Linked DNA regions of Danio rerio. The protein of the gene in region 1 interacts with the protein of each later gene in a pairwise test. Links are inferred from orthologs where the notes say so. Each region holds a gene or a part of one and is shown on either strand. Other genes may lie near its edges.

What was found.
Region 2: the proteins of sergef (region 1) and dph3 interact in binary tests that used the Homo sapiens proteins (3 or more experiments, as listed by UniProt). The link is inferred for Danio rerio from reciprocal best matches to the Homo sapiens genes SERGEF and DPH3.

What each region holds. Positions count from the first base shown.
Region 1 is NC_133200.1:8,835,550-8,839,382, forward strand, and holds part of sergef (secretion-regulating guanine nucleotide exchange factor), read right to left. Parts: intron 1,302-3,833; coding exon 1,239-1,301; intron 1,160-1,238; coding exon 1,001-1,159; intron 618-1,000; coding exon 478-617; intron 1-477. UniProt on the Homo sapiens protein: Probable guanine nucleotide exchange factor (GEF), which may be involved in the secretion process.
Region 2 is NC_133181.1:16,098,844-16,103,116, forward strand, and holds the start of dph3 (diphthamide biosynthesis protein 3), read left to right. Parts: upstream 1-1,223; 5' UTR 1,224-1,302; coding exon 1,303-1,410; intron 1,411-1,745; coding exon 1,746-1,820; intron 1,821-4,273.

The DNA.
Region 1 (3,833 bases):
AATTTCCTTGCTCTGTTAAACATCATTTGGAAAATATTTTAAAAAAAGAAAAAAAAATTCCAAGGGGGGCTAATAATTCTGACTTCAACTGTATATAATTTAATATAACAGTAATTCCTCAGAGTGACTTTTCATCTATTTAAACACTTAGTTTATTTTAAATCTTATTTACTTCCTTATATGTAACATTTCTCAATAGTATTAATTAATGTATTCATTTTTTTTTCATTAGAGGATTGTTTTCTTTTTCCGAGGGGATTTTTTGAGTAGAACATTATGATTGAGTGTACATTGCGATAAACTGTCATTTCATTCTGCATTGCATGCATCAAGACGTATAGTCTAATAGTAAAGTATGAGTGGATATAAACTAAGACAGTCTGTTGTTTCTTATTCTACTATGTATCGTCTTATTAAATAGAATAATTAAAACAGAAAAAAATAAACGATTTTTCCACAGTATCTGTGACATCATACCTGTGTGGCTCCAAATAAAGCTTTAACCTCAACAGGGGATCTCACAAGGTGCTCATCACTTGACTGTTTTTCCATGCTGTGATCAGTCTGGCCTAGCTGTCCGTAATTGGATCTGCCCCACGTAAAGACCCGCCCACTCTCTGTAAATGCACAATATATTTTTTCATCATCATCTCATCAGGGAACAATGCATAAACAAAGGTTTGTGTGAAGCATGACAAAAGACTGTAGAACACACATGACATGTCACTCGTATAGTTTTGAATGGGGAAAAGTGTAACGGTCAATTATTGATCACCATAGACTGATGATTCTCCGGGGAAGTGCCTCGGACCAGACCAATTGTTGCTTAATTTTATTGGTGATTCCTAATATGAAATTTAATCATAAGCTTGGCAAGCAAATTTGAAGGATTTGATGTTTCCCCATTTAAACAAAACACCGAGCATGCTGCCGGAGAGGCCTTTCAAAGTTGACCACCGAGTGAATTGACTTGCCTTAAAGGGACTTTAGCATAACTGACCAGTCTGTGCGATGAGGTGCGTCCAGCCGCTGTGAACATCGCTCACCCTTTCGTCCTGCAGCATTGACCGATCCAAAGCCACAGGAAGAGGCAGGAAGAGGCTCCCGCTGATCAGCTGACCATGTTTATTGCTGCCCCAGAGGAACACATCACCGTTCACTGTGGAAAACACTTCTATGAAACTGACCAATCGGATTAAAGACAGTCATTAAAGAGTTTGTTTGAGATTATCTCTCACCTGTCAAGCAAGCACAGTGGGCGGAGCCTGCAATGACCTTCTGTGTGGTCACATGAGCAAAGCCTGAAGATGAGAAAGCCAGAAAAACATTTTAAATAAATAAGAATTTAAATAATTTTCATAAAGTATTTTTGTGTAGTGTAAAAAGAAAACATAATAAATGAAAGGGGTGTAACGCTTCACAAAAATCACGGTTCGGTTCGATACGACACAGTGGTGTCACCCTTCGGTATGTTTTCGATACAGCAAAAAAATAAAAAAGCCAGAAAATTTCTCTGATTTTAATTTACGGATTTTTAATTTACTTTATTAGTTAACAATAATAACTGTGCTGTTTTCACGGGTGCTGTCTGATATTGCACAGATGACTTATAACTTATTATTTGCATACGTCATCTTAATAGCAGTAACGTTTTTTTCATGAGCTGCAATATTAGTTTCATCTCAGTGAATGCAGTTCTTTAGCGATGGTGAACGCGGTGTCAGTTGCACGATTAACAGCATCGTGACGATTAAATGAAGGATTAAAAAACGTTAGAACATCTCGTGCTTAAAATGTGTAGATTCAATGGCAAACACTGTTACTTGAAAACTCTGTCCCACCGGCTTTACGGACCTACGGGTTTCATAGCAGACTTTAACCACTGGAAGTCTTTTATCCACTCTTCGAAAAGTGTAAATGTTGGATTGACATTCATTTCATGATTAGTAATCAGATGTGCCATTATTTGTAACTTTAGGTGGTTTCCAAAACTAAATCTGCCAGTGTTGTTTGTTTTCATTCTCTCGTATCCAGACCTTTACGTTTTCGTGGCTGTAGTGCCCTGTCATGAAGGCTGAAGGCAGGGCAAGCATTGCAAGCTTTGTTTACTGCAAGTTATCATGTCAACTGTTTTAAACCATTCCTGGGCGCTGCGTTTGGCGTTTTTAGGTGAAAAGATGCTTAATGTGTGAATGCCTCGTAATTCCACGCACATGGTGAACATTTTGCTAAGAAAACTGGTCGCACGACATCAATTTTATGCACTCCAATATATTTTGACGTCGCATAGATAAAATTTCGGCCACATATGCGAGCTAAACGGTAGCAATTTCAAGCCCTGTCTCATATCGACAGCTACAAATGTACCGAAACCAAAGTGTTCCCAAAAATCAGACCTGCTGTTGGTTATAGGAGGATTACATTAACGTTATAGCCATTTTGCAAGCAAGTGCAGCGTTTGCCTGACTGGAGTAGTGTTTGGAGGTGGGTGAGGAAGGCAGCATGTTGCCTGTCACGTCATTTGGGATGCCCTGTTGAGCGGTGTTGCACTGAAAAGATTATATTTTGTACACTTTTACTCTTTTATCTTTTTAGATATCAGTCTGAATTGTTCGGTTTGTAATGCGTACCGAACCGAAAGTCTCGTACCAAACGGTTCAACACAAATACGCGTATCGTTACACCATTAATAAATGCACTTTTAAGTGTCACATTTTATTAATGTGTGTGTGTGTGTGTGCATTTAAATTACAACACATTTGTTTTGCTTAAGATTTGTTTGTTTTTTCATAAATCTTCACTTAAGCAGCTCTTATCTAACACCAAATTGCACCTTTTTTCATCTGTATTATAAAAGCTTTTTATAGAATAAATTTTACATTCTGTGTTTTTTTCCGGCCATTCTCAGTATTTATATATGAATAGCCATAAAGAGTGATGAGAATGTTTTCAAAAAATGAATTTTGAACCCGAGTGTCACAATTGCCAGCGATCTAGTCCATACAGATCTCTGGAGAACTACAATTCTGCCACCAAAAAAACTACAAATCCTTTCATGCACCACACACTCACACCTGTTCCTGTTTCACCTTGATTATACACACACAGCCGAGGGATCGTTATGAACTGATTACTTGGACTTCAAAAGCTAGTTAACGAGTCTAGTTAACTGTTTTGTGACATTACGACACAGTTTCCATTGTCTGGCCAAGTCGTGTTTTGACCTCTTGCCTTGTGTTATCGTTTTGATTCATTGCTGCCGGTACTGACGATTCGCCTGTTCTTTGACAGTGTTGACCGTTGCCTACCTGACCATCCTTAAAATAAACTGCACGTGGACACTTAACTTTGTTGTCAGCGTCCCTCACATTACAATGAGAGATTGTGCTAGAAATGTATCCAAATTAGTATACGAAATAAAATAACGCGTCATCTGCATCTATAAATGTGATAATATTTGAAATTCCTAATGTAATCAATCCAATGGCACCCACTGAAAATTAGATGTTGCATCTCATGGGGTTATCCTTTTAAATAAATTGAAATTGATAAGTATCAGTTTACTATATTTTTTTATATTAGTTTAGTATTGTTTTTTTGATCCCACTTCATTTTATGTGGCCTTAACTAAAATGTGCTTACAGTAAAATTAATAATTTGGTACAATGTACTTATTGTGTATTGCTTGATTAAATACCTGCATGTAAGTAGATCTGCAATTATTTTTTGTAATTACACTATTGACCTTCCCTCACACCTTAACCCACCCTTAAACCTACCCATACCACCAAACCTGTCCCAGACCATACCCGTATCCCACCTCAAGAACACCA
Region 2 (4,273 bases), on another chromosome or scaffold:
TATTCAAATTAAAACTGTATTTAAATGAGGGTCAAGACAGGACAAACTTACATGGCCCATTCATTTATTCATTCATTCATTTTCTTTTCAGCTTAGTCCCTTTATTAATCTGGGGTTGCCACAGCAGAATGAACCACCAACTTATCCAGCACATGTTTTACGCAGCGGATGCCCTTCCAGCTCCAACCCATCGCTGGAAAACATCCATACACACTCAATCACACCCATGGACAATTTAGCCTACCCAATTCACCTGTACAGCATGTCTTTGGACTGTGGGGGAAACCGGAGCACCCGGGGGAAACCCACGCGAATGCAGGGAGAACATACAAACTCTACTTAGAAATGCCAACTGACCCAGCCGAGGCTCAAACCAGCGACCTTCTTGCTGTGAGGCGACAGCACAACCTACTTCGCCACTGCGTTGTACATGGCCCACATATCAGTTATTACATCTGGGCCAAATACTACTTTTACATCTGGACCAAGTATTGTGTGCCACTAAAGACGGTGTCACTTCTGCCAAACCAGGGCCATGTTTGGACCACATGCTGTATGCCGGTGCCGGATGAATGTATGGGCCAGAATTCTTTGCTACCTGAGAATGCAGTACTGCTTGCTATTTTTAAAATGAGGGTCAAGATAAGCCAAACTTACATGGCCCATTCATTCATTCATTCATTTTCTTGCCGGATTAGTCCCTTTATTAATTAGGGGTCACCACAGTGGAATGAACTGCCAGCTTATCCAGTTTTAACCAGTCTAGACTGGTTAAAGCTGTTTTTACAGCAGGGAATTCTGTAAAAAATGCAAATCCTGAGCTAGACAAAAATATTTTCTTACAGTTTAATAAGTACTCCTTCAACTCAAATTATTACATTTTGGAAAATGTAACATTTTTTATGGACAGTTTCTACTCTGAAATAGCACCTAATAGAAGGAATTACCCTTGCAGTAGCTTGTAACTGATTAAACAAATGTAATCTAGAAATTAATTAACATATTTATTGGGCCAAAATAGTTAATACAGTTGCTGCTAATGTGCGTTGGTAAATTTAGGTTTATAGGCAATTAGACCCTCAGTCAAGTCATCTGTAAAGTTAAATGAACATAAACAGCAAAATAACTTGTACAAAACATACCAGAGACGAATGCGGCATCATATCGATAGAAATGTCTCCTCCTGGTGGCAAAGTTTAAAACAGATTTTTGACGTCTTTCTCTGGATGCCACGTCAAATTTGTGCGACACTAGATGTAACAGCGGGCGCACGTTGAATCAGCACCGGCGAAGACTTCTAACATGACGGTTTTTCACGACGAGGTCGAAATAGAAGATTTTGAGTACGATGAAGAAACAGAAACATATTATTTCCCTTGTCCTTGTGGCGACAGATTCGCGATAACAAAGGTTAGTTTGTTTTACTGAGTAAGCATAATATAGACAGTCATAACTTGATCCATAACTGTACGTTATCACGATCTAGGCTAACAAATTACTTATGTGTGTATGACTTAATGTATTGTTTTTCTGATGACTTGTATGTTGATTGGTTGTCATTGTTTGTGAATGAAATCTGAAGGACTACAATAAAACCACTAATATTATTATACAAATTAGGGAGTGTCAGAATGACAATATTAAACTACAGTCACAATTAATGTAAAATAATAATAATAATAATAATAATAATAATAATACCAGTTGTTTATTAAGAGAAAACTTTTTTTTTTTTTACTTTTTAGGAGGATCTTGAGAATGGTGAAGAAGTGGCCACCTGTCCAAGCTGTTCGCTAATAGTAAAAGTAATTTATGATAAGGTAAGGTCAACATGACAATATTCATTTATACATGTGTATTTTCTTGACTTGTATATGGATGATAAATATAGTTTTTTTTAAATGTATGCATGAATAAGGAATGTGTTATTTATACACTTGCATCAGGGCTCTCTTTGTTATGTTTTGTTTACACTTTTACATATTTGGTAGTCTTATTAAAGCTTTGTTAGACAGCAAAGGTAGCACAGAAACAATACTTGAAGAGGCATAGTTGTTCTAAAATGTGGTTTGGGTGCGAGAGGTCTGCCGTGTGGATGGCAACATCAACAACTTGAGGTACCAAGATATTTGTGCTGTCCTTTACATTACAAACCACAGAAGAGGGCAAATTCTACCCCAGGATAGCACTTCAGCCTCCACATTAAAGTTCCTGAAAGCAAAGAAGGTCAAGGTGCTCCAGTACGTCTTTATCAAGGTTGCTTCGCTGGATCGTGTCTCATTATAGTTGTTAAATGTGATATTCAGACATCCCAAGTCTCCCAGAAGTTCAGTCTATCACCGACCAACCCCCCAACCTGCTTGCTCTTCACATGATGACGATGCCATCGTCCATCGCAATGTTTCACATTAGACATCGTACGATGCCACATTGGTCAACATCGCCCAACCCTAATGTCAGGACCATTAAAGATGAATCCAAAGAATTTTGATTAACTGGGAATCCTGCAAGAATGCTTTCTTTGCCATTCCAATGTCTTTATTAAAAAGTTTTTCATTGCAGAGATGTATGGATGCGGCCTTCCAAGTTGATGACAGTCATACACAATATTGATTCTTTTTCCACTGTAGCATGACTTTTTATTCTATACTGTACATTATTTCTGTTACGTGACAAGACTTTTGTCTCAGCTAAGTCAGACCTTACTGTCTGTATGAAATAATTAAAAATCAAGGCATGATCATATTTTGTTTTGGTAAAATAAACATAATTTAGAGGCCTTTGCCTTTCATGTAAGCCACTTTTGATACTAAATTGCTTAATTGATACCAAGTTTTTTATTGGTGTTCCTAAAACTTGGATGGGTGACGAGACTTTTATCAGGTAGTGTACAAATAAATCCTAAAGTGAAAACTTTAGGATTTTAAGTAGATATTTTAGAAAAGACCATCCAAATTAGCTGTTTTTATTATTTAGTTATAAAAGTCTTTAAACTTAAAAAGATATATGTAGAGAGGCATTAATTTCCCCATGACTTTCTTATATTTCAGCACTAATTAGATCAAGTTTATGAGATGATGTGAAAGTGGATGCTGTGCCATTGAATGAGTTTGATTATTTATTAACCAAGCAAAACCAAGACTTTTTTACTAACTGGCTCTTCTCTCAGAGCCAGAGTGTCAGTTTACAGTAGAGGGCCATTTTAGAACATATAGCACATATTATTTAAGTATTTTCAAGATAAACAGAATGTATAAGTGCAATATATATTAAAATATATATATATATTTGCACTCTTTCAACATATATAAATTTAGCATTGCACAACAAGAATTGTGATTTAACTTTTCAACTATGAAAACAAGTTTTACAAAGATATATTTTGCCACTGATTATTCAAAACTTAAGGTGGTGAACTAGCAGTGTTATGCTGCGTTGAAACATCACTGTCACTGTAAACAACAGGCTAATAAAAATATAACAAACCAGCAATCTTCTTGCTGTGAGGTGGTCAAACTACCCACTGTGCCACCGTGACACCCATTATTTTTATCATTATTATTATTAATATTATTATTATTATTATTAAATAAAAATTAACAGGAGGAGGTGTTTAAAACCTTCGTTCTCCGTGACACTAGGCTGAATATCTTTGCAGATGAACAATGCAATAGCATTAGTTATTGGCGTAGAGCGAGCAGAACTGTTGCGCATGGAAAAAAAAAAACTTGCAATGCTTTTCTCACCACTTTTGGAGCTGGTTGAAGCAGTGCGAAAGCCGGGGATGCAGGGACACTAGAAGATGCTTTCACAACAACACCGTGGCGCCGCTTCAAGTGAGATATCAGATTAGTCGTACTGCCCGCGTATTTTACAGATGCGCGGCACATTTTGCAAATTGCATCTGTCCTGTCATGTCGTCCATCCTTAAATCCATAATGTTGCTTGCCATACTTTAGATTTAAAACTCATTGGGGAATAAAATGTTTGTTTTGCTTCTCGCGCTTTCTGAGGGCGCTCCACTAGCTTCATCCGCACACCTGATACACTGAGTTGTAGTGTGAGTGTACACATCCGCAAATCCGTTGCTAAGGCTTACTTTATGTAGGTCGATTAAATTATGCGCCAAAAACAGGTTGACAACACTTGTTAATAAATAAAAAATACATTCTATATTAAAAATATAAGCTGTATCTCGGAAAAATATATATATATATTATTGCAGTGTTTATTATGAATGATTTAACTGTGCATACATTTGTAATGTTTAAAG